Lytechinus pictus: one gene and its partners. The protein of the gene in region 1 interacts with the protein of each later gene in a pairwise test. Links are inferred from orthologs where the notes say so. Each region holds a gene or a part of one and is shown in the gene's direction. Other genes may lie near its edges. The genes, in order: splicing factor 45-like, putative pre-mRNA-splicing factor ATP-dependent RNA helicase PRP1 and U2 snRNP-associated SURP motif-containing protein-like.

Region 1 (11,307 bases):
TTTGACCATGATCATGTGACCTAAGACATATATGCAAAAACAATCATTTAACTAAACTACCCTTATGTTAATGTTTCATGAGCTAGATTCATATTTTTTTAAAGTTATGATGCCAATTCAACACATACTCCCAACACAGCCAGAGTTCATTGACCTTTAAAGGTCAAGTCCACCCCAGAAAATTGTTGATTTGAATCGATAGAGAAAAATCAAACAAACATAACGCTGCAAGTTTCATCGAAATCGGATGTAAGATAAGAAAGTTATGACATATTTAAGTTTCGCTTATTTTTCACAAAATAGTTCAATGCGCAACTCAGCGATATGCAAATGAGAGAGACGATGATGTCCATCACTCTCTATTTCTTTTGTTTTTTTATTGTTTGAATAATACAATATTTCAATTTTTACAGATTTGACAATAAGGACCAACTTAACTTAACCATAGACTGTTAAAATAATGGTAATTGCACATGTTCAGGGAGAAATAAAACTTTGTTTCACTTGACAAAGAGGAGAAAATTAGAATATTTCATATTTCATATAATAAAATACAAAAGAAATAGTGAGTGGGTGACGTCATCAGTCTGCCAATTTGCACACCGACCAGGATGTGCATACAACTGTTTTGTGAAATTAAGCGAAACTTTAAAATGTCATAACTTTCTTATTTTACATCCGATTTTGATGACATTTTCAGTTTTTTGCTTGTTTGATTTTTCTCCTTTTTTTCAAATCAATTTTTTGTTGGGGTGGACTTGTCCTTTAAATGACCTTTGATCTTGGCCATGTTCCTGAAATGCACACAGGGTATTCAGGGATACATTGCTGCTCTTATGTCCATGTTTCATGAACTAGATCCATAGACTTAAAGTTATGATGGCAATTCCACAAAAACCCCCCATTACCAAAGTTTGTGGACCCTGAATGACCTATGACCTTAGTCTTGTGACCTGAAACTAGCACAGGATGTTCAAGGATACTTGATTGCTCTTATGTCTAAGTTTTATGAACTAGGTCCATATACTTTCAAAGTTAGGACATCTAAAAACTAAACCTTGGTTAATATTTTGATATTGATTCCTCCAACATGGTCTAAGTTCATGGACCCTAAATGACCTTTGACCTTGGTCATGTGACCTGAAACTCAGACAGGATGTTCAGTAATACTCGATTACCCTTATGTCCAAGTTTCATGAACTAGATCCATAAAATTTCAAAGTTATGACAATTCCTCAAATACCCACAATATGGCCAAAGTTCTTTGACCGTAAGTGACCTTTGACCTTCCTCATGTGACCTGAAACTCATGATATTCAGGGATACATGGTTGCTCTTATGTCCATGTTTCATGAACTAGATCCATACAATTTTAAAGTTATGATGACAATTCCTCCTCAAACAACCCCAACGTGGCCAAAGTTTGACCTTTGATCTTGGCCATGTTCCTGAAATGCACACAGGGTATTCAGGGATACATTGCTGCTCTTATGTCCATGTTTCATGAACTAGATCCATAGACTTAAAGTTATGATGGCAATTCCACAAATACCCCCCATTACCAAAGTTTGTGGACCCTAAGTGACCTTTGACCTTAATCATGTGACCTGAAACTCAGACAGGATCTTCAGTGATACACTATTACTCTTATGTCTAAGTTTTCTGAACTAGGTCCATATACCTTCAAAGTTATGACATTTCAAAATTTAACCTTGGACCTTAATATTTTGAAATTGATTCCTCCGACATGGTCTAAGTTCATTGACCCTAAATGACCTTTGACCTTGGTCATGTGACCTGAAACTCAGGCAGGATATTCAGTCATATTTGATTACCCTTATGTCCAAGTTTCATGAACTAGATCCATATACTTACTAAGTTATGATGACATTTCAAAAACTTGGTTAAGATTTCAATGTTGACGACGCCGCCGCCGTCGGAAAAGCGGCGCCTATAGTCTCGCTCTGCTATGCAGGCGAGACAATAAAAACATGTATATATGTAACCTAAGAGTACAAAGGCAACTGTGCAGATGACTCACCTTTCGTGCAATGAAAGCACATCTCTGGTCTTCAAAACATCCATAAAGTGTCAAGGCACTCCAGAGCTTGACCAAATCACTGAATAAAAATAAATCATGTTAAGTTAATGTACTGCATAGCTACATGCGTATCCTTTGAATGTTTGATTTGATTTTAACGAAAATAGAAAGCAGAGGAAAGCTTCACAGAACAAAATTATTCCTAGAATTATTGGTACCAAAACCTTGAAAATGAAAATATACTAGTATGTAGGTCCTTTATAGAAGACCAGACCCATACTCCTTTCCAGAATAATTCATGATGGGTGTTAAATGCAGCCTTTCTGTGCCACCGTATAGGAAAATAAGAAACATGTGAATACAATCAGTTCACTTTAAAAACTTTCAAACATTAAGATAATTATGACATTTACAATAAAAGACATTGAATGACAGTGATACAAATTAATTCAGAAAAAAATTGATTCATTTATGGTTATTGCATTTTGTATACAATTTGTTTAACATGCTGTATGTTTATTGTTTTTTAAAAGATGTCATGTGTGTTTTGGGAATTTGAAGATGATTTCATTTTCATAGTAGTACTGTGAACCCGGGGGGCCACTTACATTGACGAGTGGATACCATGCGCGACCAAAAAAACACGTAAAAAGGATGTCCTTTTCACGATAGGGCACGTTACGTACGTAACGTGATAAGGTTGTCAAAAACACAAAAATAATGAAAAAAGGGTGTCTATTTCGCTAGGAAAATTACGTGTTTAGGGTCGAATTTGCGGGAATGATAAAACAAAATTAAAATGTTTTATAAAGGATGTCCATTTTGACCCAACACTTCGTGTTTAGAGTCCGATTTGCGCGAGGTGTAGAAGGTGGGGTCGTACTAAACCAAAATAAGGTAAAGCCGACGACCGAAGGACTCGTAACAATAAAACATTCCTGTATTTATTTAGGGGTTCATTTCAGGGAATATTTGCCAAGAGTATCGTTTTTGTTTCCAATACTTGTTAGGGTAGGGTTTCACACGCCAATACTTGTCAAGGGGTGCATTTTCAGAATATGGAAATTACGTGTTTAGGGTGCTTTTCGAGACCCCATGGTCGCGCATGGTATCCACTCGTGAATGGAAGTGGCCCCCCCCCCCCCCGGGACTGTGAACCATTGACAATGTAATAAACCATTAAATAAACAGACAAAAACGTAGTGAAGATGGAATATATGATTATAGGAATGGTTAATAAACAAACTTCAGTTTGAGTTGCAGTATATACATGTACTTCCTTTTAGGGGCAGGAATGGGGTACTTAAAATAAATGAAAACTATTGATACATATACAGTATTTTATAATAACATACCAATTAGTTTTATAAGTGAATGGGAACTTCTTGGAAATCCCAGGTAAAGTTAATAGAATTAAATAAAGTATGTGCCAGCACTACACCTCCAATGCACTTGGTACATGTTTGTATATTGGTGTAAGGTGCATGAGGATGATTTATCATCTTATTAATATTATGATGTCAAAGCTTAAAGATAAATTCCAGTTCTGGTGACGATCTCAAAATGACTTTTTACAGAATCTAATATAATGACCACCTAAGTGTCTGTTTGTATGAATAAAAAATATGTGCCAAAGGATTCTGGAAGAAATTGTGTAATTGCTATGAAATTAGCAAAATAAGCGCGGATTCTGTCACTTCCGTCGGGTCTTTATTCCAGCAATAATAATACACTGTCCCACGTGTGCCTATCTGTGTTGGCGATCTTCAGTGTGATCGTATTTCAGCTTAGATTTTATGATTTCACAAAGTTCAGTTTATGTAACTGTACCAGATCTAGATCCACGGTGATATAGTCATACTTAACCTTGGTTTTACAGACTTTCTCACGAAATTAGTGTTTTACTGCAACTACTATCATTTAGCTTTAAAGACAAAACTTTCTGAGCATGATGAATTTTTATTATTAAAATAAACTCAAATTCATGACGAGATATTTATAACTAAAAAACCCAGAATCCACACAAAGTTAATGTAGATACTTTGATTAGATTTAATACAAAATGGCATTTTGGAATATGAACTCCCCAGCAGACATTCAAATATATAATTTTCCTCATACAAATTTCTGTTTGTGAATGTGAATCAGTGTTCTAGCTAGACCCATCTTAGTGGTGGTCGCTATTTCACAGCATTACAAAGTTTTTTTCAGGCTGAGTTAGCAGTCTTATTTAAAGCCAAAAGTGAAGGAACATCAATGTAATAACAATCTTAAATTAACAACTCTTTGAAAATATAGGCCTACTAATATCACATGTAAGAATAAATAATGTAAATTATGCAAAAATAACAAGATTAAAGATGGATATGAACAGGTGTGCAATTATTTCATTTGAAATCAGTGGTGGATGGGAGCAGTGTTTTTTGTGAGTGGTGGTCAGATTTTTTCTGGGCTGGTTGAGCCAGACCACTGACGTCCACTGTCACTATCCAAATTGACCTCTACATGACACATTCCAGATATGCATGCACATAGTTTGGGATTAGTGGACGACTGAATGTGTTGAATTCTACCAGTGCAACTTGGCCAGGTTGAATTGTTTTGGGGGGGGGGGGTAGTTGGGGAGGGGGATAGGGATATTCTTGGACATTTCTTGGTTTCTCTAAGAAAATGGTAAATAATTAGATACACACCTCTGACGAACTTTAAGGATTCCCTGAATATTTTCAGGATCGTACATCAAAAGATCTACCAGAATTGCCACTCCAACGTCACCATGAAGTTGCTTTAATGCCAAACTCACAATTACCTCAAACATCCTCTCCTCGATAACTGGTGGTGAGCTTTCAAACTCTCTGTCGATGAAAAAGTAAGAAACAAATTAAAACCCCAACATATTCTGCTATCATAATATTTGTTCATATGCAATTCAATAACAATGAATAGAAATGTAAAATATACAGCATAGCCCTGGGAAGTTGGGTGCTGAAGCACCCACATTTTTCCAGGGGGGGGGGGCTGCAGCTATTTACCATATGCAGAACCCCATGGAATTCAGGCTGACAAGCAAGCAAAAATTTTTTTTTAAATAACCCCTTTAGTTTGGTTTTCAACTTTTTTTTTCTAAAGACACCCCCTGAACCCCCCCCCCCCCCGGCCCAGTACAGCAGTGTCAGCACTAGACCAAAAGCTTCAGTCTCTGTATTTTGGTTGTTCCGCTGAACTACGTTGGCTCCATGGGGATTACAGTAAAATGTCAGAAATTGTTGAATAAATCCCCAGAAACGACGGTTATTCCTGTCTATGTCAGCACCCGCTATTTAAAAATCAGGGCCCTGATGTATTGTAGGCCAATAGAGAAAGCATTGGATAAAATCCCCTAGCTTTATTTAGAAATTTTTATCTATTTTTGCACTACAACTGCAGACAGCTCATTTTCACATTCCACATTTGGTGGCAGCAGTGGGATACAGTACATGGGAGAAAAACGGCCCAGCCTCATGAGACACGTCAACACACAATAGGATTACTCATGGGATAAAGGCTCATAAAAAGGATGTGATAATGCTAAAATTTGTTGAGCATGAAGCACAGGCCTAATGGAAATAATTCTCTTCCACATCAAATCAAAGTATTGACTTTTGAGTAATGATTGGATTTTAATTTTTAAGTAACAAAGACTTTAAAATTGACGTCAGCTTCATTTTCAGGCAGCTGATCTGAACACATGATTTTGACATGCGTGTCGACGTCTTTCACTGAAAGACTGAAAGTTTGTCAAAATGAAAGGGTATTGATACTAACTTGAAGAAAAAATGAGAAAATATTGGTCATCAAAAGATAGAAGCAGAGAAATGAAGACGCTAAAGTTCAGTTCTACGTTAGTACATAGTGTAGACTTAAATTAAATAACGTGCCGTTACTCGTTACTTGGCCTACTCAGAATCTCTCAATATGTCCCCTCCACTTGAAATGAAATAATATCTCGTCTACTCACAATTTGACACTCAAATAAATGTATGCATTACAATCCATGATTTGAATCACCATTAACTCAGATCTTTCTAACGAAAGTCAGCTAGCTCGTGACTTTAAATAGCTTAGCCTTTGGCATTGCAGTGCCAGTGCCTAGCGCCTGCATGTCACAGTCGTCACAGCTAGACGGTCGAGCCGATATATATTGGCTGCTGGGCCTGGGAGCTGGAGAGAGCTAGCGAGATCGAGAGCTAGCTCTACATTCCGTCGTGTCTGATCTGCTGCTTCCCCTATAAAGGCTATATAATGATATTGTTCTTCATAATTTAAAAATGAATTTTACCTGAATAATATCAAAATATTTTGTTTTATATTTCAAAATGTAATAAGATGCAAAAATAAATGTAAAATTCTGGAACCCAAAATTCTGTTTTTTTTGAAGTTTTGTTTGAATAATTAAGGACACATCACAAAAAATTGGATCTCAGTCCAGGCGGCGCTAGCGGCGAGCACGAACGAGTTGCTCGAAAGCGTCTTCAAGATCAACCAAATTACCGGTATGTATGCTTTACATCCAATTATATTTTAATATTTATGTCAAACCTCAGTTATCTAGGTGTGTGAATATGTATAGAACGTTAAAGAAAGACATTTACTTTGCCTAAAGATACCGGTACGCTACGCCCAAGGGCCAAGTTTAATAGAACTAAACTTTCATATGCCGACTCCAATTGAGTGCGCTCGTCAGTGTAAACATATAGCGTTTCATAACAAGATTGCAGTAAGAGTAAATGGCAAGTCATAAAGAGTAGACGGCGCGGTGATGGGAAATGAACTGGAGAGCCAGAGGCGGCCCACTCACACTAGTACGAGGTTAGTATAACGTTAGAGGTCACAAAATTTATTTTTACTAAGCGTTAAGCCTGAGTCACTCATATCGATTATTTTGAAAACCGGTGTTCGACAGCTTTAATTCGATCAAACATCTGTAGTGACTTGACTATATCTTTTTATATATCTACATCTATGTATTCTTTCCTTGTATGGCAGTGAGTCCAAACTTCGCGTGTGTCCATACTTCGCGGACGGTCATTATCTAAAAAACTAGCCAATATTCTTAAAATCTGACATCATCAACGTGAAAAGCGACCTAAAATTACCCTTTGGTGTAAGTTTCTTTAGGATGAGTTCAGTATTCATGAAAATATTGGCAAAAGATCGGCAAATTTGTCACTGTTGGCGCCCGTTTTGAAGAAATCTGATATTTTCAACAAGCATCACGATATCACCATTTTGCAAGCAGAAATTATCAAAAATGTGAGTTAAATGTGGTACTAACCGATTCTATAGCATTTTGCCATCAATCTGATATAAATATTTCATTTTTTGAGCTTGAGTTTTTGTTTAAATGTCCACAAAAACTTTGCTCCGCGAAGTTAGGTCACACTTTTCTGAACGGTTTTCCAGCACAGCGCGCATTCGCCGATCAGAATAGAATTTTGAGATCGCGATACCGGCGAATCCCCTTGACCTACTTTACATTTTCGTCCATGATTTTGCAGTTTACGATCTTGCCGTAAATGTGGTAACTATTTCTTGAATTGGTTTTGTATAAATTATGAATATTTTGTGAACAAATTTAAGCCTGATAAATATTTTTGAAAAGTGCGCGAAGTTTGGACACCCCATCATATATATTTTCATTTATATTTCAACATTCTGTATATGTATATAAATTCTTTCTTTTATTTCAAATTTCATATATTCTCACTTGTTCACGCCATGTGTATGTACTACAATACTGTACATTCACAGAGCAAGACCATTTCCTGCCCAAATCTACTTCCTGAACTGCATTCTTCATCTCACATCTTTCTACGAGATGATGCTGTTACAAAGCCATTGCAACCTCCATACAGAGGACCCTTCCGAGTCATCCGTCGCACTGACAAGTATTTTACCATCGATTATAATGGTAAACATGAAAATGTCAGTGTCGACAGACTGAAACCGGCTTTCATCGAGCAGGAGGCTACCGCTCCTTCATTTCATCATCAAGATCCACCTGACCAAGTTCATCAACAATCCAACTCCACGGACTTGGCAGGGGATCCTGATGACAAGCATATGCCTCCCGAAATTCGTAAGACCCGTTCTGGTCGCCATGTCAGGTTTCCTGCCAAGTACGTTCAATTTTTCGGAGACGGTTGAAACATTTCTCAAAATTCACGGATGTTTCCACTCCTTTATTTTCTTGTTTTATATAGCCAAGTTCCCTTTTACTTTCCCTTGTCGATTTGTTACTACATTTCTATTCGGTACAAATCTAGGGGGGAGCTACTGTAGTGACTTGACTATATCTTTTTATATATCTACATCTATGTATTCTTTCCTTGTATATATTTTCATTTATATTTCAACATTCTGTATATGTATATAAATTCTTTCTTTTATTTCAAATTTCATATATTCTCACTTGTTCACGCCATGTGTATGTACTACAATACTGTACATTCACAGAGCAAGACCATTTCCTGCCCAAATCTACTTGGCAAACACATTCTTATATTGAGAAACAACCTTTCTTTTGTTCCTAGACTTGTAGCAAACATCCTTTCATTGTTCCTTGTTTATTACAATGAACTTGCAGGTATACAACATCACTACAAGATGCTTGCATGTTTGCTTTTCTCACAGTCTGCTTCTCTCTTCTTTGTTCTTTTCAACTTTGTTTTGCCTCCCTTTTTGACGCTTATTTCTTTGTCTCATCTTTTCTGATGTTGGTAAAAACAACTTGTTTTCTCTACCACATCATCACTCTACTCTCTGCCTTCGTCCTGTCCACTCATGCTGACCATCTCATCCAGCTGCTAGTGAGGATTGAATCAAATCTTGTGGAGGATCAACTTATACTTAATTATTTCTCTGCATTTTCCAATCTTATTTCTTACCGTCACTTCCACTCCTTCGAAGTCTATATTCTCTGCATATTTAATGAGCTCATTACTTCGCGAGACATTTTGTGACATCTGTCCCTTTTTCTACTCTATTTGAAATTGTGAAGTGTATATATTTCTATTCACGGATTTGTGCAATTTATCTGAGATTCTGAGCGGCTGGATCCCATTCTATCTTCTGGCGAGCAAGAATTAAGGTAGGACCTAACTTTTATATAAATATTAGGAGATCGGCTTTGCCAATTTCCTAAACATCGATGCATCGAATTTTGAAGGCATGGCGGGGAAAATCAAGTCTATTTTTTTGCTCTGCCTCTGGCATGTCTGGCCGGCTGTCGCATCGATGCGCACTGTATGCACTGACGGTATTAGACCAAAAGCTTCGGTCTCTGTTATGTTGGTTGTTCAGCTGAACTCCGTTGGCTTCACTCACCAAATACAGAGACCGAAGTTCTACTAGCGCGATCTGTACAGGGGACTCAATGGCCATATATCTGTTAACTTTATGTGTATTAAGTTAGGATAAAACAGGGCAGTGAAGTTGCGCGACAGCTAGCCGAGGTAAGTCACTGTTTTTGTTCCTTTTAACTTGATTTTCCCCGTTTTTTTTGCAATTAATGCCAAGATGGAATATTAATTTGCATTTCGGTCGGGTTAATTTTCAAAAGTTTGATTCATTAAAGACAAAAATTGAAGTGCCCCGACGGGGGGATTTTGCATTGTAAGTCCCCTAATGGTGGCTGCACGATAGTGAGCCGTCTGTGTACGAGGAGAAATTCAAAAAATAATAATATGTTAAAAAACTCCTCGAAACAGACGGCTGCCAGCTGTCTATGACGGTATGTGCTGGCCAGGTGAGCGTGTTGCACAAGCAGATGTCACAGAGCAAAGTTTGTATTTTCCATGATCACAAAAAGGCCGAAGGCCAATGTAGAATTCTTCCCAATAAGTTCAACAATGATATTTGCAGATGACAACATATAACTTAGTTTAAAATGAAACAAAGAAAGACATGAATCACGCAGTCGATCGGAATGATTTTCAGTCAACTAGCATTCGCAGTCCAGACTCGCACACATCAGCTCCGTACACTCACTCTCCCGAAACGACAGGCGTGCTTGCCAGCGCCACTTGTTCACTGCAACCATCCTGCCTGTGGGGACCGGAATCTACAGGTAGGACTATGGTATGCCAATGCTGTACACAGCACACACTTTAAAAATTCATTAAAATGTCACTTTTGTGACCAAAATTAATAATTTCCATACAGTTGCAATTTATTTGTCATTAGTAACCAGGGGCCCGTTTCTCAACACATGGACAAGTTAGTCATATCTTTATCCACCAACCACGGAGTTAGTTCCAATCTTACTAAACCTGTTTCTCGAAAGGCTTCCTAACTAGAAATAATACCTTGATATCGATACTATCGGTAAAAAGAGCAGACGAGACGTAGCCTTAGTCACAAAATAGCATAATTTTCAATTAGAAAAATTATGACAAAATTGCAAATATTATGATGAATTGGGAAATAAATCTTTTCAAAATAATAGCACAGGTGAATTATGCATCATACATACTTAGACCATGAAGACTGGAGCATTCAATTGCAGAGAAAATTAAATTATGAATAATTCATTTCATGACTAAAGAATCACTTGCGGACGTTGAGATGGGTACCCCCGGGAGACCCAATTTTAATAGTTTACAAAAGTAAACCATTAAAGTTTTCTTTGTAAAATGATGATAATTATACGGACTTTTACGATTCCAAACGTCATCAAAATATAGTTTAACGAAACATTTTTAATCATTGATACCGAAAGATACGATATTGGACAAATTATATGCATAAATTAGAGATAGAATTTATCCAACTGTTAATAGGGGTCTGAAAACAACAAATACGAGTTCAGTTATGGATGGCCTGACGTGGTAGAATCTTGATCGATTAAATCATTTTACTATTTCAAAATGAATGGTTTTGTGGCGTTTACCAACAGTTTTTATAGTTTCTTTGTATTACAATTATCATTGAATGCATTAACCCACTTGTTTTGTGATGTAATTTCAACCTCTGATTGATTACGTAAGATTATAATTTTAAAATTTCTAGGCACTTTCGCATGTCATAGTCTACCCACGTGATGCCACTACGTCACTAAGAAAGAAGTTATGACAGGTTCGGAGGTGTCATAAATATTTAGTGAGGTTGTTGTACCCGATCTTGGTAAAGAGGGCTTCGTGAAACGGTTAGCGGACAAGTAGCTCACTATCTCCGATTTAGTCAAGAAGTTAGACTTATGACGGTGTTGAGAAACGGGCCCCAGGGAA
Region 2 (11,220 bases), on another chromosome or scaffold:
CCAGACATTTTAAGCACGCTTTCAAATAAAGAGGATATATAAATTGAATAAAAAATAATTTCATGCAATAAAATACAAAAGAACAAGTGGGGATTACATGTGTAATATGTACACCATCAATGAACTCTTGTAATATTCATGAAGATATGCATATAGACTAAACTGTTTCACTAAAATAATGCAAATCTTAAAAATGGCATAACTCCGTTATTCCTTGTTCGATTTTGAACATATTTGCAGTATTTTGTTTGTCTGATTATTATCTGCTCAGATCACATTTTTCTTTCATTTTTTCAGCCTGGATGACCCCTTTAATGCGCATGAAAAGCGCTGAAATAATTGATATAGGCCCACTGACATGAAAACATGGAAAGGGATATTTTAAACACTCACGGTTTGTTGGAATTTATAGGAATGAAATACGTATTTCGATAATCAAACATTTTGGCTATTTATCATTTTTTAAATCACGAACAGGATGCGTAATTGCGTATCTCGATGAAACAAAATAATGAAAAAAAAAATATCGCGATTAGATAGATTCCATTAATAATTTGTGTATATTAACTTACAAACGTGAATTTTTAGCCTCTTGTTTCATTCACCTTCCTTTTTTTATTCATTTCCCCATGTCCTTTTTGCTTTTTTAAATGTTTTTTCTCTCTATCTTTTTGGCTATTGGCAAGCGGCTGGATTCCTCGTAACCCTGCAGAAAACTCATCCTGGTTACGGGCCTGCGATTGTTATATTTTGTTTATTGCCAGAAAATTTTAAGATGAACTACAATTCTGTGGCCCGGTTTTTCGGTTTTCTCATTCCAACTGTGAACAACAACGACAACGAAAAATACAGTTGTCTGTTTCCTGTTCTGTTTTTAACATTTTTTTTAGGGGGCGGCAGAATTAAGCTATGCGTTCCACATTTATTTTTATTTATTAAAAAAGGTTATACGAATACCTAAATATGGATTTTCCTAAGCTAACAAAATAAATATTGCAATTTGTAACTTGATTAAACTTCCGTAACAAAGATTGACAAGGTTAAATGCCACTCGAGGATTTGATTGTAAAGTATTTTGGGATTCCCAGAATTGGCCATGCGTTAATATTGCTTAGGATCTTGCTTAGGATTACTTAGGGCCAGAAACTTTTAAGATGAACTACAATTCTGTGGCTCGGTTATTCGGTTTTCTTATTGCAACTATGAACAAGAACGACAAAAAATATGACAGTTGCCAGTTTGTTGGTCTGTTTTTAACATTTTTTAATGGGGGGTGGCAAAATTAAACAATGCGTTCCACATTCATCTTTAATAAATTAAAAAAATGTTATACGATACGAATACCTAAATATGGATGTTCCTAAGCTAACAAAGTAAGTATTGCAATTTGTAACTTGATTTAACTTCCGTAACGAAGATTGACAAGGGTAAATGCCTTTGAGAGGATTTGATGGTAACTATCTTTGGATTCCCATAATTGGTCATGCATATAGCTTAGGATCTCAGGTTCTGGATGAAAAGTTATTTTAAGGTTGCCTCATTCAAATTATGAACATTAAACTAAACGAAAGATGTGCAATGATTTTTATGGTTTTTTCTGTTATGTTATTTGGTAAAATCCTGCTTCTGAAAAACAATATTGAATATTTTTTTATATCTTGCAAACATTTTGGCTTCAGTAAATGAAATTGTTGATACCACACTAATATTGAATTGTGTGCATTTCTATTTCAATCATTTCAAAAGTGATATAACTGAGTGACATAAGTGGGCAATGCTAACGATTAACCTCCGATAACATTGATATATATATAGTGCTTCAGTATCCGGTCAGTACTTCAAATTGACGCAACAGCGACTTGCCCCTTTTCTGTTGCCACTTTCTCATACATGGTACTTTCACAATATGCATCTTTCAACCCACTCTGTAGACTTCATTTTTACGATTTTTTCTCCCATCAATAATTTGGTGCATTTTTCTGAGAATAACCCTAAAAAATAAAGTAAGTTTCACGAACATGGTAATGACAAAAGTGAAATGAAAATAAATTGGTCGCAGCTAGCTCGGAAGGAGATGAAGCTCTAAAGGGTTTATCGGCTATGGTCTGGGGGCAATTAAGCCCCCGCCCCCCAAAAAAAGAATAACAATAATAAAGAAAATGATATGAAAGGGGTGAAATATTTCAGAATGAATAAAAATCTATCAAAAATAAGATTTTTTATAATAAAAAGGCAATTCTTTAATTCAACTCGCTTCACTCGCTCGTAGCTTTTTTAAGAAAATTAATGGAATTATAGATTGTCCAATTCCAATGGAAAATCATTTATGCATATCAATTAAACCATACTATACAAATAACGCCGCCCCCAAAAATCGCACAGGCCACAAAGTATAAGTAAATATATTTTCTTCTTCTTAAAGGGATGGTCCGGGCTGAAAATATTTATATCTTAATAAATAGAGTAAAATTCACAAAGCAAAATGTTGAAAATTTGATCAATATCGGATAACAAATAACAAAGTTATTGAATTTTAAAGATTTGCATTATTCCGGTGAAACAGTTCCAGGCATGTCTTTATAAATATTCATTATTTTTAGCTGGGCTGATGCTGTCACATCCCCACTTTCCTTTTTCTTATGTTATTACATGAAATCATAATTGTTTAATTTTTTCATGCATGTGTAAATTATGTGTCTCCATATTTTGATGAAATAAGTTGCGCCAATAATGCACTTAATCAGTTGTCAATCTAGTTGTTTTATTTCTTGGTATAGTAAAAATTTGAATAAACCTAATTTCATATAATAAAATACAAAAGAACAAGTGGGGATATGACATCATCAGCCCACCTCATGAATATTCATAAAGACATGCCTAACACTGTTTCACCTGAATAATGCAAATCTTTAAAATTCAATAACTTCGTTATATTGTTATCCGATTTCTTCTCAGCTTCTTCTTCTTCTTCTTCTCAAAAGGAATACATTACAGGCATTAATTTCAAAGTGTGCAAAATTTCTATAATATGTCCGTGTTAACTAATGGTCCGGGCTGTAATCCGATTTTGATCAAATTTTCAGCATTTTGCTTTGTGAATTTTACTCTATTTATTGAGATATAAATATTTCCAGCCTGGACCACCCCTTTAAACCTCCTTTACTTCTGATCGTCACCCCTGATCATTATGCCTTGTGTTTTGTCATTTTAATTCTTATATTCATCTCACCTTATGTAGTACTTGTATAAATTTTTTAATGCTTTTTATGATGAGTCCTGAATAAATTTGAATTCTTCTTCTTCCTTCTTAATTCTTCCGGCTTCCGGAGTCTAATTAAGCTGGCCTTAATTTTCCCATCTTCGCGTGATCTGCTTGTTATTTTTTAACACATGCACACGTTCGTATATATAATGCAGAAAGTATAATGCATAAATGTAAAGGTGCTGCTATTAGAGCAAGAGTCAGGTGGTTAGAAAAAGGTGAAAAGTGCACAAGTTATTTTTTAGGTTTAGAGAAATATAATTCAGATAGAAAAAATATTACCCAATTGTTATCTGTAAACAAAGATAAATATTGTACTAAACAAACAGAGATATTACAGGAAGTCGTAAAGTTTTATTCATTGTTATTTAGAAAATCTGATATCGATAAAACTGAGAGAAATAATTACATCAAGTCAGTTCATGTTCCAAAGCTGAGTGATGAAGGAAGAAATAAATGTGAAGGATTGTTAACAAGTGCCGAATGCAAACGTGCTGCTTTTTCTATGAATAAAATCAAATCACCTGGTCTGGATGGTATTCCCATAGAGTTTAACCAAACCTTTTGGGACGACATCAAATATATTTTATCGAGCGCTCTTAATGAATGCTTCACAAATGGAAAATGTCTGAAAGTCAGAAAGCTGGTCTTATTACAATGATTTATAAGAAAGGAGACCATAGAAATCTAGAAAACTGGAGGCCAATCTCACTTTTAAATTGCGATTATAAAATAATGACCGCAGTTTTGGCCGCACGATTGCAATCGGTTATTGGACAGATCGTTAGCGAAGAACAAACTGGTTATATAAAACATCGCCTGTCTGCCTTTAATATACGTCTTACAATTGATGTCATTGAATTTATGAAAAGAAAATACTTAGATGGTGCTATAATGATGGCAGACTTTTCTAAAGCTTTTGATGTAATAGATATAAATTTTGTGTCCTCATGTCTGGAAAAAATGAATTTTGGAAATAATTTCCAGACATGGATAAAAATGTTGTACACAGATGTTCGAAGCTCTGTATTAGTAAATGGCTGGATATCAGAGTCCTTTTCAATACAAAGGGGAATTAGACAAGGCTTTCAGCATTACTCTTTGTCCTCGCAGCAGAATTTATGTCTAACAAAATAAGAAATAATGAATACATAAGAGGTATACCTGTTTTGAAACCAGAAGATAATTGTGAGGTTAAAGTACTACAACATGCTGACGATACCCTGTTCTTTGTGTTAGATAAAAGATCACTAAAATTGATAAATGAAGAACTTGAGTTATTTGGGAATGTAGCAGGTCCAAAACTTAATAAAACTAAAACAGTGATCATGTGGGTGGGGAGAAGTAACTCCAAATGGTCACTCAATGATATTGGTCTATCATGGACAGATATTCCTACAAAATACTTAGGGTTTTACATCTCACCTGATATAGAAAAAGCACGTAAAATGAATTGGGAAAATAAACTAACGAAATTGCAAAGATTATTATATAATTGGAGAAAAAGAAAGCTTACTATTTTTGGAAGAGTAACCATTGTCAAAACTCTAGGTTTAAGTCAGTTAGTAGTTAGTACATATTCTCATGGTTGATATTATTCCTGAGAAAATGTTAAAAAGACTGAATTCTCTAATATATACTTTTATTTGGCATACAAAGATTGAAAAAGTAAAAAGACCTATAATGACCAACAAACTAGACAATGGAGGGGTCAACATGATTAATCTATATACCCCAAAATTGAGCTTTCGACTAAGATGGCTGGGGCGCATTCTTGCGTCAAGTAAAGGAATGTGTTGTAAATTCAGCCTTTATTGGTTTAATATTTTAGGTGGTTTGAAACTACTCCTTAATTCAGACTTTGATGCTTGTAATATAAAACATATATATGCAAGCACCATCTTCCAGTCTTTTACATTAAAATATTACAGGCCTGGTTAAAGATAAAGAATAATGCTTGTTTAGAATATCACCCTAAAGTACATGGTCTACAATACGAAATTTTGTGGCACAATAAAAATGTAACCTTTCGCAACATCACCCTATTTTTTGAAGGATGGTATAAATCTGGGATATATAGTATTTTTGAAAGATATTCTCAGGAATGGAAATTTCGTGGAAATTCATTCCCTTCTTAAATCGCAGAAGAGTAAGCAAAGATTGATATTCGACTACACATTATTACGTCAGGCTATCCCTAAAATCTGGATAAATGATAATACATTACCTTGTACCAACCGCAATAATAAACCTTCATTAGAGTTTCCCAAAATAGATGTAGGAGCAAAAAATCAAATTAAAAATTTTCATGATATTTCAAGTAAACAATTCTATAGACTATTATCCTTAGATTCATCGAGCACTATAACAGATGCTATTTGTATTGGGAAGAGATAATTGGGTCACCATTAGATTGGACAAAAACTTTTAAAAGAAACTTGTGTCACTGTAAAGAAAATAAACTGAAAGAATCAAATTTTAAGGTTATATATAATTTATTGCCAGTAAGAAAGAATTTGTATGCTATAACAGATGGGAGATGCCCGCATTGTTACGTGGACGAAGATAATGTACATGCTTTCGTTGAGTGTAATTGTAAACCAAATAAGACAAGAGATTCTTTTCTTATATTTGACAACAGTAGCTAAGTTTGAATACAATGTCGACCTTCTTACTCGATACTCTCTCTGTTTTGCTGCATGCCCTCTACGGTAAATACCGTCGCATTGAGTAATTGTTTTTGCCTTTTTGCGCTACTGCAGCGAGAAATCCGAAGAGAATGTCAAAAAGACGTTTAGATATCGATGATTCATACAGTAAACGGAAGGGAGAATCTGATTATAGGTAATGACGATGACTTGATACTGATTTGTGATATTTTCCAATCTATTAATACGTGAAAAATTGTTTTTTATTGTCTTCAAGTGAGAATGATATTGTAATCGTGACATGTGCATTGACCATTGTGGATACCGGTACGGTACGTACGGGTGTCGTTGAGTGATGAGGATGCAGCATGGCGCTCGCCGCTGCATGCTGCATCGGCTATATCTAGTATGAGTGACTATGGGCAGGGAAGTGTTATAGATGAGTCTGACTAGCAGCAGTGATGTGTGACTGTGAGGCGCGATGACCCGTGGCGCCTGGGACGATGCTGTGCTGGCCTAAAGCTAACCTAAGTAAGATAAGTTTTTTTAAAAATGATTGTGCGTCTCAAAGACAGAGTCGAACAAAACACAACTTTGAATTGCATGGCATGGCTGTGTTTATATTACTAAGTAGTGTATCGTTCATGTACTTCTTCATAAAATAAAAAAAATATGGTGCTAAATGGCAGTTTCGCACCGCCACGCACCGGCTAACTTCGCTCAAATTTCCCCAAACCACTCATTTGTTTGCAAATGTTCCCGTTCCTGATTGCGATATTCGGAAAAGCAATTGGCATATTATTATTGACCCTAATTTAAAATGTGATCGAGACTAGAGACTTGCTTTGACTATGAGTGACATTTGCAGAAAATTATTTCTTTGAAGTAGGCCTGCGCGAAACTGCATTAAAGGTAAAAAAAAATATTGGGAAGGGGTTGGGTATAGCCTTGAGGACTCTGTGATGATGTTATTAATATTTTTACATATACTTTTACATCACGGAGCCTTGAAATCGTTGCCATACATTTCAAACAGTTCATATATTAAAATTATTAATTATAATAATATTCTCAAATTTTATTATTTAATAAATAATGATTTTATTTTTAATCTATGAATTGTTCTTCAAAACGGCACTTCGTAACATAGACCAAAAGCTTCAGTCTCTGTATTTTGGTTGTTCCGCTGAACTACGTTGGCTCCACTCACCATACATAGACTGAAGGGGATGGGGCCCCGTACCTACAGCCAACGTATAGTGAACTAGCGTTTTATAGATCGCGATTTAAAACTGTTTTTTAAGCAAAATTGAAAGTTTCATGGTTTCCATTATCAGGGAAATATTAATAACTTAAGTAATTGCATACCTTGGGCCGGAGTTATTGAAAAAAATCCTCTGGATGATTGAGAAATCTGTCATCTAAGACATTTTCACCTGACCTGACGGTCTTTCTTGCAAGTTGCCATCTTGAATGACGTCATTATCGTATTAACTTAATGTCTCGAATCGATATATCGCGATTATAACTAGTACTAGTACTAGTATAACTAGTATCGTTTATCTTCGGTTTCGTTCGCATATGGAGCAGATCGTATAATATCGAAAGCAATATCGATATCACATTCGTGATTGTTGACGTTCGTTTGTAAATATTTTATAGTTTGGCTGCCATTTTGACCATTTTTATCGTGTTCAACCCAATTAAACATCGGTAAAGTATATTTTTCATGCCTTTTTCATCTATATCGTTTAAAGTATTTAAATGTTAAAATACAAAGTTTTAAAAGTTTGTTGTTAATACATCCTTAGATTGTAAATTCGATGTGTAAAATTACATCAAACTTTGAACTGTGAATTGACAAAAGGGAGGGAATGAGAACACATGCGAGCCCACACGTACACCCTACCGTCGGTAAATGGGGATTACAGTAAAATGTCAGAAATTGTTGAATAAATCCCCAGAAACGACGGTTATTCCTGTCTATTCGTAACATAGCTCATAGAAGCTACGTCATATCGAAGCGGTTCAAGGGTCAAGCCTATTGTATTTGTAGTGTTTACGAATGGATCGAGGGATCTACATGAGATTGGTCTGGTACGAAACCTCTCATTTTTCATATTTATACTAACATATTTTACCCCTTCAAGTTCAGGCTTCATACACATAAGGCGTATGAAGGTTCATAGATAAATAAAATCAAGAGAAACAAACCGATTTCACCCTCTAAATATGGATTTCCTAAGGAAATCTATCTGTGTTGACAAGTCTCGCTTAGGCATGTATGGCGACCATTTCAAGTAAAAGTATATGTAAAATATTAAAAAACATCACAGCGTCCTCAAGGCTAGGTTGGGTACAGGTTAAATCTTGCCTCCTTATTACAAAATTAGTCGCTTTTCTGAGATGCGCCTATATTCGACATGTGTCATGATTCAACATGTTTATCAGACTTTTTTCACAAGCCAGTGCAGTCAATCACCACAGCACACACCAAACACATACACAGGCACTATCACTCTCCACCTGTGTTATGCAGGACAACAAAAAATTCAAGAGCTGTTACTGTCCCAAAGAAAGATATAAAAATAATCCTTAATATCAAATTCATCATGTGAAAACACTTTAAACTTTACTTGTATGTATAGCATTGTAAAATACATTTAACTTCTGAAACAGAACAAAGTATCTGCCAAAAGTACAGATGTCACCGGTAACGCAAAGCCATAGTGTACGTACTATTAATAGTGTGAAATTCTAATTGTGTTTGAACATGACAACGCAGCTTCTTGAAGTTCATCAAATGGATCCCAGAATTTTCCTTCAAGTAGCTGCAATGCCAATTGCTGTTTTATGATCGCACTAAACAAAACCATTGAGGATGTGGGAGAGTGTGGATTCATTTCAGGGGTAGGATTTGTGTTACCCTCCAGTTCTCCACATCCTGAATCTGGCCTGGGAAGGTAATTACCTCAGAGTGGATTCAGTGGAATCTTAGCTCTGTGTCCTTCTGACACTCCTCAGTGAAGACAAACATTTTGGAAAATTTCGTTCAGATCAAGTATGCTCTTACTGGCACCAATGGTTGCCATCCATGGACCAGTCAACATGTGATGAATGATACCAAGGCATCGGACATCTGTCTTTGCTTCTGTTGTCCATGTGTTCATGAATGCTCTGTGCAGGTCATTTGAAGGTTTCATTACCTTAGTAAAATATTTTGTTATCCCATCTCCTACCTCGCTTACTTGCTACACTATGAAACAGGATATTTGAAGCGGTTACCAACCAAAGGTGGTAAATAATTGATAGAGCGGTTAGAGCCTCTATCCTTCAAGGTCTTAATTATACAATATCCCAGTGGTAGCATTGTTGAAGCTATGCTGAGCAGCATGTATTAGAGCCTGTGCATTACTTTCCCCTCGCCGATGGTATGGCATTGCGTTAATGTTTGGAACTATCCGCTCCTTGTCCTGTGATGTCAGCACAGGATCAGGTTTGTTTGCGATTGAATCCAAAAGGTGCATCCCACATCTAAACTTTTTTGACCTTTTCCCAATCTTCTCTTCAAGTTGTGCATCCACAGTAGCATTGGTAACACACCTATCTGTCATGGTATTGCTACCCTCTCCTAGCACATCACTTTCAGCACACCGCGTAATTGCATGGATATAGTCAAGTGGCGTAATTTCCTTCAGCAAGAAATTTATCCACACTGTGCTGCACTCAACCCAGGTGAGATGAATGGGTACCCGGCAGGAAGAAATTCCTTCAATGCTTTGAGCGCCTAGGTAGCCCAGCTAAAGCCGGGGTAATAATAATAGCAGGGCCCGCTGGGAGAACAGTTTTCGGAACTGAAGCGGCTTCCCTGGGTAAATATACCTGTATTATTATTATTATTATAAGTGCTAGACCTGGCTGCTGGTTCTTTCCCATTAAATAAGTTTCGCTTCAAGAAGAAACTTTCACCTCTGCAATGTGCCCAAGGTTCCCTTTCGTCGTTCTATCATACCATACTTAAGTGTTAAGTTTCCTTTATTATAAAGAGCATCTGCAACCTGAATTCGGCATACATGTTGATGTAGTGCTTTCATTTCAGCATCAAGTCGATACTCTTATCGGATATTACTTTCTTTCAGGCTACTCATTTCTTATTGATTTCCTTTCTAGCTACTGATTGTTTCCTTATGGCTTCTTTTTCTCTCTGTGTGTCTTTTAGCCATCAGGTCCTTGATATTTCCTTCCAGCTCACTAATTTTTCCTCAGTACATTGTTTCCATATATGCAAGTTTTTCATTGTGTCGCTGTTCAGTATTGTTGTTTGTCTCCAACAAATGTGAACATGATTGTCATGTTGTCATTTCTTTCCTTCCTTCATTTGAATTGAGCTTCACATGCATCTCTTACCCCATCGCGATTGACAGACTTTTTCATCCATGTAGCATTAGGACCCCTGATAATGCCTTTTTTTTGCATTATATCAGTCGCTCATCAAGTTTGTACCCACTCATGTCATGCAAGTAGATGGTGAGTGGCGCTTAATATGTGCAATGGAGAATCCCTATTAACTTTACCTTCAAGTTTCCATTCCAATGCGTGGCTCTCATTTTCTTCTTGAGCAAACTGAGAAGGAATACCTTTCCAGCACATAAGTTTTCTCTTTTCATCTTTCGGGCTACAGTGTACTTTGATGTGTTCCAGTAGTTAATCATATTGCCTAAAGTTATAGGCCTAATTGGGATTAAATGGTTGTCTCCATGGAATCCATGGAATTGTAACTTTCATGTGAGAATACCCAGAGCTATGATGGCATCCTTGCTCTCTATTTTATAAAACATGAATTTATAAAGTTTTGAAATCGGTTGCAAAGTTACAAATGAACATCCTCAAATCAGTTGCAAATTGTTGCATGTATTAAACTAGACCAACCAGTTAATGAATTCTGTATTGTTTTTTTATACCAGGGACAGGGATCGAGAGAGGGAAAAGAGGGACCGAGATGATGACAGAGATCGAGATCGTGATAGGGACCGTGATAGAAGAGACCGTGACAGGGATAGATCACGATGGGAATCCTCAGGGGTTACCAGTGCACCCATGTCCGTACCAACTCCTACAGTAGTTATCAATCCATTGAATCTCACTCCTTACTCACAAAAATACTTCACAATCCTGGCCAAGAGGAAAACACTGCCTGTCTGGGAATACAAGGATAAGTTCATGAAGATGCTGGAGGAACAGAAGATTATTGTGCTCGTAGGAGAGACTGGTTCTGGTAAAACTACACAGGTAAGATAGAGAGCATACAGG
Region 3 (11,412 bases), on another chromosome or scaffold:
CAGCTCCGGGGCCCGTTTCTCAACACCGTCGTAAGTCTAACTTCTTGACTAAATAGGAGATAGTGAGCTACTTGTCTGCTAACCGTTTCACGAAGCCCTCTTTACCAAGATCGGGTACAACAACCTCACTAAATATTTATGACACCTCCGAACCTGTCATAACTTCTTTCTAAATGACGTAGTGACATCACGTGGGTAGACTATGACATGCAAAAGTGCCTAGAAATTTTAACATTATAATCTTACGTAATCAATCATAGAGGTTGAAATTACATCACAAAACAAGTGGGAGAATGCACTCAATGTTAATTGTAAAACAAATAAACTATAAAAACTGTTGGTAAAAGGCCATAAAACCATTAATTTTGAAATAGTAAAATGATTTAATCGATAAAGATTCTACCACGTCAGGCCATCCATAACTGAACTCGTATTTGTTGTTTTCAGACCCCTATTAACAGTTGGATAAATTCTATCTCTAATTTATGCATATAATTTGTAAAATATCGTATGTTTTGGTATCAAAAAGAAAAAAAAGTTGTTAAACTATATTTTTATGACGTTTGAAATCGTAAAAGACCGTATATCTATCCTCATTTTACAAAGAAAACCATTATGGTTTACTTTCGTAAACTATTAAAATTGGATATCCCGGGGGTAACCATCTCAACGTCCACAAGTGATTTTTTAGTCATGAAATGAATTATTCATAATTTGATTTTCTCTGCAATTGAATGCTCCAGTCTTCATGGTCTAAGTATGTATGATGCATAATTCACCTGTGCTATTATTTTGAAAATATTTATTTCCCAATTTATCACAATATTTGCAATTTTGTCATAATTTTACATTTTGAAAATTATGCTATTTTGTGACTAAGGCTACGTCTCGTCTGCACTTTTTACCGATAGTATCGATATCAAGGTATTCTAGTTAGGAAGCCTTTCGAGAAACAGGTTTAGTAAGATTGGAACTAACTCCGTGGTAGGTGGATAAAGATATGACTAACTTGTCCATGTGTTGAGAAACGGGCCCCGATCTCTATTTCATAACGTGCTCGCCGCGCCGCGCTCGCAAACAAAGTAAAGAGCGCATCCATACGTACGGGCGCAGGTATATAGAGGAAAGAAAGAAGTAGGGAGGCACGGATCCAAACTTTGGGCGCCGCTGTGGCCCTTTTATTTGGCGGCACAAAAATCCGGCAAAAAATTTTAGGGGTAAATTAAGAAGGAACGAACAAGGAAAGAAAAAAGAGATAGAGAGCTACACGAAGGAGAGAAAAAAAAAATAGATACAGGATAGGAGGGGGAAAGTGATTACAATGAGAAGAATTAATTAGATAAGCCTACATCTCCTGGCCTATTGTGATGTTCCGTATACAAATGGCGAAAATAGTCAAATTTACAGGCTGCCAAATTATAACAACCCCCCCCCCCCCGTATATATACATACATATATATATATATATATATATATATATATATATATATATATATATATATATGTATGTATATATACGGGGGGGGGTTGTTGACGGGTATTGAAGACGGGTATTGACCTTGCTACGGCCCTCTCCATACAATTGATCTCAAATATAATTATGAAGGAGACCCGTACACGTACATCGCCAAGATTGATCACATTTATATATATATATATATATATATATATATATATATATATACACATTTACACATTTATATATATATATATATATATATATATATATATATATATATATATATATATATATATATATGTATATTTATGTATATATATACATATGCCTTAAATGTATGTTAAATTATCTTATGTAACAATCACGTGTAAAAAAAGGCAATCGAAGACCACCTTTTTTAATGTGTTCATGAAAAAAAGTCATCACTTTTTTAAAAGAATAAATGTGACCAGGTGGGGATTCATAAAGCTATTCGTAAGTCTAGAGTGACTGGTAAACCCTTCTTACGCTCTAAAAAGAAAGGATCCCCAGTCGTTCTTAAAGCCGCTCTTAACTTACTATCAGCTTTGTGAAACTGCCCCCTGAAAGCATAGAATTTTAAGCATTTGGGGATTTTAACTTCTCATCAGAATGTAGGCCCTACTAAAATTATGTGAGCGGGAGCTAACATTTCTTTATAAGGGGCGGATCCAACTTTCGCTAACTTGAGGGGGTAGGTGGAAAAATGTTTTCATCTGTATGTTTTCCCCTGGGGCCCGTTGCAGAAAGAGTTGCAATCAATCGCAACTCTAAAAATCATGCGCAACTTGATTTTCGACCAATCAACAGCGCGCATTTTGGACTTGCGGTTGATTTTTTGACTTGCGTTGAAACGCAACTCTTTCTTCAACGGACCCCCGATCGGATATTAAGCACTTTTTGTAACCGTGAACGTGATGGGTATAAACAATAAATTGATGCTGGTGCGAAACGGGAGATGAAAATTTTTTTTTTAATTCTGACCTCAAATTTGGAAAGTCTGTAAGCACTTTTGGTGATCAAGAACATTTGGGTATATATCTCAAAATTTTATGCAAGCGCAATGCGCGAGCTGACAATTTTTGTATTTCCGACCCAAACTGGACATTCTAAGCACTTTTTGTAACAACGAAGAGGTTGGGTATCTATATAAATATTTGATATTCTGAGTTTCTGACCCAAAACTGGATATTCTAAGCACATTTTGTAAACCATGAACAGGATGGGTGTCTATTATTGTGCGAGCGCAAAGCGCGAGCGCGAGCTGAAAAATTGATATTCTGACATAATATTTGGACATTCGAGTAAACATTTTTGGTAATCATGAACAGAATGAGTATATATAGCTAACAAAACATTTTATGCGAGCGCAAAAGTGCATGCTGAAATTTTTTGATATTTTGACCCAAAGTTGGAAATTCTAAGCACTTATATCTATCCATGAACAGGATCGATCGTCACCTTACTAAACAACTGATGCGAACGCGAAGAGCGAGATGAAAATTTGTGATATTCTGACCTTAAATTTTGACTTTCTAAATCACTTTTGGTAATCATGAACAGGATGGGCATCTGATTGTGCATTTGTTATTGTTATTGCAAATTGTTTATCGAGAATGTTCTACATTTTGTTCTATTGTCACTGTATATAGGCCCCCTATTGTTATTGGTTTTATGATTATTACGTTATTTAGTGTTTACCATAAACACTTATTTACTTTTCTTGTACAGTCATATTGCTTGCAATGGATATACATGTATCCATTTGTATCGGTTTGTATGGTCTTCATTTTATATCTGTGTAATTATTTCCTATATGTGATGTTGTAGGCTATCATTGAGTTGAAACTTGAACTTGAACTTGAACTTGATGTTTTGGGTTTTTTTTTCTCGTATGTCGGTCTAATTCTATCTCGGAGCTTAACATTCTTTGGATACATGTGTATGTTTTTTGTTTTTTATCTTCTTTTGATAGTGATTTTTTTTTATCAAACCGTAAACTTTGTGAATGTGTTTTTTATTTTTTTCAATAAAACTAATATATATGTATATATATATATATATATATATATATACCTGCAATCTTACCAGGTTGCGCAATCTTACATTATATCATGTAAACTTACAGGAAATTGGTATTTGGTGTATGGAACCTTACAAATTTCCTTGAATAAAACAGCATTTTCTCCTTTTAAAACAGACCTGTTCTGTTAAATTGCAGAAAAAATTCTTGTTTAATGAATTTGCAGAATGATTGTTTTACTGCTTTCTGCAAAATCTTCTTTTTTCTGTACTGATTCACTACTGAATCACGTTTTTCATATATATATATAGAGAGAGAGAGAGAGAAACAAGGTTGAAACTTTCATGCTTTAAAGGAGAATGAAACCCTTGAAACCAGCTGAATCCATATCAAAGAGAAAAATCAAAGAAACATATTGTTGAAAGTTTGAGGAAGATTGAATGAATAATAAGAAAGTTATGAGCATTTGAATATTGAGATCACTAATGCCATGTAGATCCTCTCATTGGCAATTCGACCAAGATCTGTGATGTCACACACGTACAACTCCCTCATTACTTTAGTACTTATTTCACTTATATTCTCACTTTTATAGAGTCTATCACAAGGTGAGGTGTTCTCTTTATGAGATGACAAGTACCAGGCGCGGATCCAGGAGGGGGCCGAGCCGGCCCCGGCCCCCCTATTTTTTGACAACCTGCAGAAAAAAGTGTACTCTTTAACTTGATAGAAATTATGAAAAACAGAAAGAAAAGTAAGAAAGAGGTAGCATACCCATGATGTGTAATTTACAGCCTCGTAACGGCCGGCCCGACCCCGAAAGGAAACAAGAAAAAGGTGAGGGAAGAATTGGAAAATAGACTTTATATAAAAGATTTCGCTCGCGCTTCGCGCTCGCATTGCCTGTGTAATGAATCCCATTCAAGAGAATTAAATGGCACTTATATATCCAGTTCTGAAATCAATTTGCACACAATATTTTAGCTCGCACATCAAGCTTTCATTATTTTGTTTGATTTACACAAATTGTTAGTATATATCACAATTTTCAGCTCGCGCTGCGCGCTCGCATTGTTTGATTTGTGAGTTACCTATCCTCTTTGAAAAATTCTTACCAAAATTTGTCAAAATGCTCCTTTATCATGTCAGTATATCAAAAAATTAAGCTCGTGCTTCGCGCTCGCATTTAATTGTTTGAGACACACAGCTTTGTTCTTTATTAAAATAAAAACGCGCTTAGACTGTCCAGTTTTCAGGTCGGAATATCAAAAAAATTTAGCTCGCGCTTCGCACTCTCATTATTTAATTGGTGATACTTGTAATCCTCTTCATTTATCACTAAAAAACAGTCCTAATTGAATCCTCTTTTCACGTTACTATAATAACATTTCGACTCGCGCTTCGCGTTCGCATTGTTTAGTTGGATACTTATCTTTTTCATGATTATAAAATCTTCTCAGAATCTTCAGGTCTAAGGACATAAAATATCAAAGAATTTGAGCTCGCGCTTCGCGATCGCATTATATATTAAGACCACATGAGATACCTTAACTTGTTTATAACAATAAAAACTAACATATACTTAAAACTTCAGTCTTTAGTTAGGACTACCCCCTGATAAACCAACAAAAAATCTGATTATATAGCGGCCAATCGAGAAAAATGTTGATGAAAATATTTTTCGGCCCCCCCCTATTGGCGAAAGCTGGATCCGCCCCTGAGTACAGAGGTTTCACAACATTATATCATTGATGAATCGTTTGTCATATGATTAGAATGAGCAAAAAGAGATGTTTGGGGGTATATTTTCAGTGTCCAAAAGGGGAGAGTTGTTCATCTGTGACATCATAGATATTGGTCGCATTGCCAATGGGAGGATCTCCATAGCATTAGTGATCTCGACATTCAAATGCTCACAACTCTTCTATTGCTTGTCTTATTTTACTCAAACTTTTGTTGATCTTATTCTTTGATTTTTCTGCTTTCACAAAAGCTAACTTGCTCCAAGAGTTTCATTCTCCTTTAATCCAACAAAATTTATTGAAGTCCACAAATTTTCGACGAGTATACAAACCGTCTTTATCGAAAATTTGTGGACTTCAATAGATTTTGTTGGATTAAAGCATGAAAGTTTCAACCTTGTTTCTCTTAATATTACTCCAACACGTGGAATATCTACCGAATATATATATATATATATAATTTATATATATTCTTATAATATATATATATATATATATTCTTATATATATTATTATAATATATATATATATATATATATATATATATATACATACATACATATATATTTCAGTTTGACGCTGATCCACCACTGTTTGCATGGGCTTAATTGCCATATGGGCCATATGGACGCACCATTAGATAGGCTGGAAGTTTGGGTTACTTAATTGATGCAATTTTTTTTCCTTTCTTCTTTGTGTAAATTTTTTTTTCCTTAGTCCATCGAAACAAGTTTTTTTAATTGCCCCTTTCCGGTCCTCTCGGATCAGTGATTTGTCAGTGGACCAATTTTTTTTTTTTTTTTTTTTACTCTATATCTGCATGGTGAGCCGGATGGTGAGTCATTTTTTTTCCTTTTTGCTCATTATAGCAAGTCAATTTTTTTTTTTGAAAAACTTGCAGCCCCCTGGATATATCTAATGGTGCATCCCTAAAAGGATCACTCGATCTAGGGCCAACCATGTATTGTATTTAGGAGACATAGTTTTGATAAATGCATGCAGTATCCATTATCCAATGTGCAGATCTGGCGACGAGCTCGCGCCGCGCCCGTACGTACCCGGCCGGCCGGCCGTGCGCGCGTGCGATATGTAGACGCGTGCGTTTCTGGTCGAAGGTTATTCATCATGGCGGGCCTCGCTCCTGGAACGGCGAAGGTGAGACGAGCTTATTATATTTTATCATCAGTTATTGTAAACTTATTGTAATATTGATGGTGTTTCTGAGTCTTTGAATGTTTTTTACGAGTGTTGAATAAAGATTATATTTCTTGACACCTTGTCCGAAAGGAAATATTGCAACCAAGCACGCAGTCATGTCACTCAACGCAACTGTGAACTGGCATGACTGGTGCCGCGCCGTGATGGAGTGAGTGAGTGAGACTGACGTGTGTCACTGCATACAGTGCATGCAGGCCCAGGCTAAGTTAGGTGTGAGCGTGTCGATTCATTGCACATGCACATGCATGTCTGCTAGCTGCCTGAGTGTAAAATGTGAGTTATACGACTGAAAGAGAGTGACTGAAACTAAGTTAGTGTATTTGTCTGAAATGAAAGATGCCAGCAGTACCAGTGGTTGCCCCGGGGACCTCGACACGTCTATTTAGACAGTGTCGAGGTCCTGAATGCAACCACTCGTTATCACCGGAGTACAAAACTTCGCGATGTTTGGCATTAGAAAACCGATGATCATAATGAATTAAAAATCTAACGAGTAATATCAATCTTACCTAAGCAAACTGTTCCTAAATCAGCTTACCTTTGAAATAAGAATAATGAATACAATTCCATGAAATCCTTCAAAAGAGCATCAATTTTCGGACTTTTGTTCCAATCGCGAGATCGCCATGTTTGAGGTAAAATTCTGCGCATGCGCATATGAATATTTATAAGATGTCGTCACTGCATGCCTTTACAGCACAGTTTAATGAATATGCATGTAAGAGTGAAAACTTTCGGCAAGTCGTCTCTATTCAATTAAATCGTGATTTAGGCATATAATTCAATACCATTTTTCATTTTTTTTTTTTTTGGAAAAAAATAGATCTATATTTATGAAAAAAAATATTTATTTCATATATATTTTTATTTTGTTACATTTTGTGTTTTTATGATAAGTTTTTGTTGTCATTTGTTATATTCTTTCTTTCTCCTTTTCATTCTTTCTTTCTCCTTTTCATTCTTTTTTATGCTTTGTTTATGGGAAGGGGGGGGGGGGTAAAGCGTGAATGTTCGCTTGGTGTGTGTTTTATTTCATATAACTTCCTCAAATTATTTTGATTTAATGATACTAAAAATGAAAAAAATATTTATCAATAGTGTGCTTGTGTTTTAATATATTCAGAGATTTCTAGATCCGAATTTTTTTAGTCTGTATTATTATTATTATTCCCTTTGTGATTATAAAAAATCCAACAAATATTTACAAATGGATTCTAATTTTACATTTAGAATAACCAATTCATGATTTTCTTAAATATGAATTCTGATTCAATAACGTAAATGATTTCATGTTATTTATCTTTTTCACATGTTATAACAATGAGGAAGGATTGAATATGGTTTTAAAACAAAAGGAAATACTTAAAAACAATTTTGCCTGCTTTAAAAAGAAATGCTAAGTCAAGATGTTAATATATATTTATAATTTAAAAAAAAAATCTGCCGCTTTGATAATCACCAATCACCATTTGTTGTTTAATTCACCGCATGGCAGTAGCATAATCAACCCCTCACCTGCCCCCCCCTTTTTTTCGGGGACGAAATATCCTCAATTTTTGGTTGAAAAAAATTTTTTTTTGCTTGTCAAATTTTTCATTGGCCCTGTGCCCCCCTTTTGGAAAATCATGGATCCGCCCCTGATTGAACTCATTTATATGGAGCACTTCTACACTGTCAAAAATATTTTTAACAACGCTGTTTACTGTGAGAATTGCATAGTAGTTGTTTAAACATTTTAAACAAGTGTTTAAAATTTAAACAATCATGTTTAAATCATTGATAATTTAATATTTGAATTTAATTATTGATAATTAAATATTTAAATTTAAAATGTGTGTTTTAAGATTTTAAATACTTGTTTAAACTGTTTAAACAATTACTGTGTGATTCACATCGTAGACAGCGATTTTAAATTTATTTTAACAGTGTATTTGAATGATTAGGAACTTAATTAATGGCGCAAAGTAGACGACAGGAGATTGATGACATAAACTTCCATATAATTCTATAGTAATATTGTACTGTCTTTTTTTATATATACGGCACAATTTTTATAACTCCCCCTTTTAAATGAGGAACAGGCCGTCCGTGGTCCCCAAATAAATTATGACCGACTAGTAAAGAGCTGAAAAACGGAAGAAGTAGCCTTTGTGGGTATACGGCATTATCATTATAGAGTTTACCACCCTGACCTATAAGGATCGGGAACGTTGGTGATCATTTTGAATAAAATATGACTTCATATACTTTGACCTATAATCTTAATACTAATTCCGTTCCCAAATATTATTCTTTAAAACTTGATGCCGCCACAAAACAAACTAGCAATATAGCCGAGATGAAAAAACGGGGTAATAAAGAAAAGGTAAACAAAGGAGAAAAACAAGGATTTTCTCGCAAACATGCGCGGAAGTAAAATTTTAGAGAGAATGAGAAAGAAAATCCCGCAAAGCTTTCTTTTTCGCCATTGTTTACCCCTTCGCTATCACCGTTTCTCTTCTCTTTTTTTTTGGGGGGGGGAGTTAGGGTGGGGAAGATCATCCCACCGCCTCCTTGCTACGTACTTGTTATAAAAAAAAGGAAAAGGTGCATGATAATGAGATTTGCATATATTTTCATTTCATTTATTTTAAATTCTCATTAAAACATACAACATACAATTGAAATTAAAACTAAGGATACATGCACAGTATACAAAATAAACAAAATGGAAAACATAACAAGTGAGAGAGAGAGAAAAAAATATGTGGGAGCCAGCATTGGATTCCGTGATATTTTTAAAATCATTTTGCATCACGGAGTCCTCTAGGCTAAGCCAGCAACAGAGCTGCCAAATAGTACGATTTTGTCGTATTCCGTACGATTTTTCACTTAAAATACGACACTAGGATTTTTACAAATAAAATACGATTTTTTGAAAATATAGCTATGGTAAGGCTCGACATAACAGAAATCCACCTCGGGCAATCATTATTGAAAAATGTTAAGTTTTGGTGGCCCGAATCGGGCAACCAATAATTTTCAAAGTAGCGCAATTTTTCTCCCGATTTTGCACCATTTATCAACTTTATACAGTTCAAATTGCAACCAATTCGTCATGCGCCCTTTTTGTTGATCTACACACAAATACACACACACATGACAGTACATAGGCTTACCGCTCTAGCATACAGTAGCTATTATCCAGCCGGCCGGCTGGCGTACGTGAGCTTTGCATGAAACCACTGCAGCTACATGTAGCTATCTGTGCGCTATCAGCCTATTCAGACTCGGGGAGCTACGATACGAAATGTTGCTGCTAAGATATCTTCCACAGAACTTTGAAAATCTATTTGCAAGCATTAAAAACAGGAATTATGACCTCTCTTTTGACTCAAAAAGACCGATTTCCAAATGTATTAATACACATAAAAACACATAGGTGAGTACATCACAGTCCCATATGTGCATTTGTATGTATGTTGATACTTGGTTTCTTTCGAAGCTGTGTCTTTTCTAGCAAAAAATAAGCAGACAGTTTTTTCCTTTTTGTCTCACCTGCATAGCAGAGTGAGACTATAGGCGCCGCTTTTCCGACGGCGACGGCGGCGGCGGCGGCGGCGTCAACACCAAATCTTAACCTGAGGTTAAGTTTTTGAAATGACAGCATAACTTAGAAAGTATATGGACCTAGTTCATGAAACTTGGCCATAAGGTTAATCAAGTATTACTGAACATCCTGCCTGAGTTTCATGTCACATGACTAAGGTCAAAGGTCATTTAGGGTCAATGAACTTAGACCATGTTGGGGGAATCAACATCAAAATCTTAACCTAAGGACAGTTACTAAGGTTAAGTTTTTGAAATGTCATCATAACTTAGAAAATATATGGACCTAGTTCATGAAACTTATACATAAGGTTAATCAAGTATCACTGAACATCCTGCATGAGTTTCACGTCACATGACCAAGGTCAAATTACAGTGAGCACAACAAAATAATGAGATGTATAGTAGGAAAGTACACGACGGGTATGAATAGGATTTTTTGTCTAAAAATAGGATTTTTTGGGTGAAATAATAGGATTTTTTGTCAAGTGTGGTTGGCAGCTCTGCAGCAAAGCCCTGTCAGACGCTGGGTTCCAGAAATAGGCATCAAAATCTTAAAGAGATGGTTTGCTGATCACTCAATAATTTTGATCAACGAATATATTCCTTTAATATATTAGTGTTCATTTATTTCTTCACTTTTTGTCTCACCTGCATAGCAGAGTGAGACTATAGGCGCCGCTTTTCCGACGGCGACGGCGGCGGCGGCGTCAACACCAAATCTTAACCTGAGGTTAAGTTTTTGAAATGACAGCATAACTTAGAAAGTATATGGACCTAGTTCATGAAACTTGGCCATAAGGTTAATCAAGTATTACTGAACATCCTGCCTGAGTTTCATGTCACATGACCAAGGTCAAAGGTCATTTAGGGTCAATGAACTTAGACCATGTTGGGGGAATCAACATCAAAATCTTAACCTAAGGTTAAGTTTTTGAAATGTCATCATAACTTAGAAAATATATGGACCTAGTTCATGAAACTTATACATAAGGTTAATCAAGTATCACTGAACATCCTGCATGAGTTTCACATCACATGACCAAGGTCAAAGGTCATTTAGGGTCAATGAACTTTGGCCGAATTGTGGGTATCTGTTGAATTACCATCATAACTTTGAAAGTTTATGGATCTGATTCATGAAACTTGGACATAATAGTAATCAAGTATTACTGAACATCCTGTGCAAGTTTCAGGTCACATGATCAAGGTCAAAGGTCATTTAGGGTCAATGAACTTTGGCCAAATTGGGGTATTTGTTGAATTACAGCCATAAATTTGAAAGTGTGTTGGTTTAGTTCATAAAACTTGGACATAATAGTAATCAAGTATCACTGAACATCCTGTGCGAGTTTCAGGTCACA

What was found.
Region 2: the proteins of splicing factor 45-like (region 1) and putative pre-mRNA-splicing factor ATP-dependent RNA helicase PRP1 interact in binary tests that used the Homo sapiens proteins (3 or more experiments, as listed by UniProt). The link is inferred for Lytechinus pictus from reciprocal best matches to the Homo sapiens genes RBM17 and DHX15.
Region 3: the proteins of splicing factor 45-like (region 1) and U2 snRNP-associated SURP motif-containing protein-like interact in binary tests that used the Homo sapiens proteins (3 or more experiments, as listed by UniProt). The link is inferred for Lytechinus pictus from reciprocal best matches to the Homo sapiens genes RBM17 and U2SURP.

The regions. Positions count from the first base shown.
Region 1 is NC_087247.1:38,894,221-38,905,527, reverse strand, and holds the start of splicing factor 45-like, read left to right. Parts: upstream 1-5,941; 5' UTR 5,942-6,038; coding exon of another isoform or gene 6,039-6,091; 5' UTR 6,092-6,573; exon of another isoform or gene 6,574-6,577; intron 6,578-9,086; exon of another isoform or gene 9,087-9,170; intron 9,171-11,307. Other genes in the region: ribonuclease P protein subunit p14-like, read right to left, coding at 2,042-2,120, 4,735-4,896, 6,039-6,091. UniProt on the Homo sapiens protein: Splice factor that binds to the single-stranded 3'AG at the exon/intron border and promotes its utilization in the second catalytic step. Involved in the regulation of alternative splicing and the utilization of cryptic splice sites.
Region 2 is NC_087256.1:1,565,513-1,576,732, reverse strand, and holds the start of putative pre-mRNA-splicing factor ATP-dependent RNA helicase PRP1, read left to right. Parts: upstream 1-5,979; 5' UTR 5,980-6,041; coding exon 6,042-6,106; intron 6,107-10,874; coding exon 10,875-11,199; intron 11,200-11,220.
Region 3 is NC_087260.1:6,517,535-6,528,946, reverse strand, and holds the start of U2 snRNP-associated SURP motif-containing protein-like, read left to right. Parts: upstream 1-6,318; 5' UTR 6,319-6,367; coding exon 6,368-6,397; intron 6,398-11,412.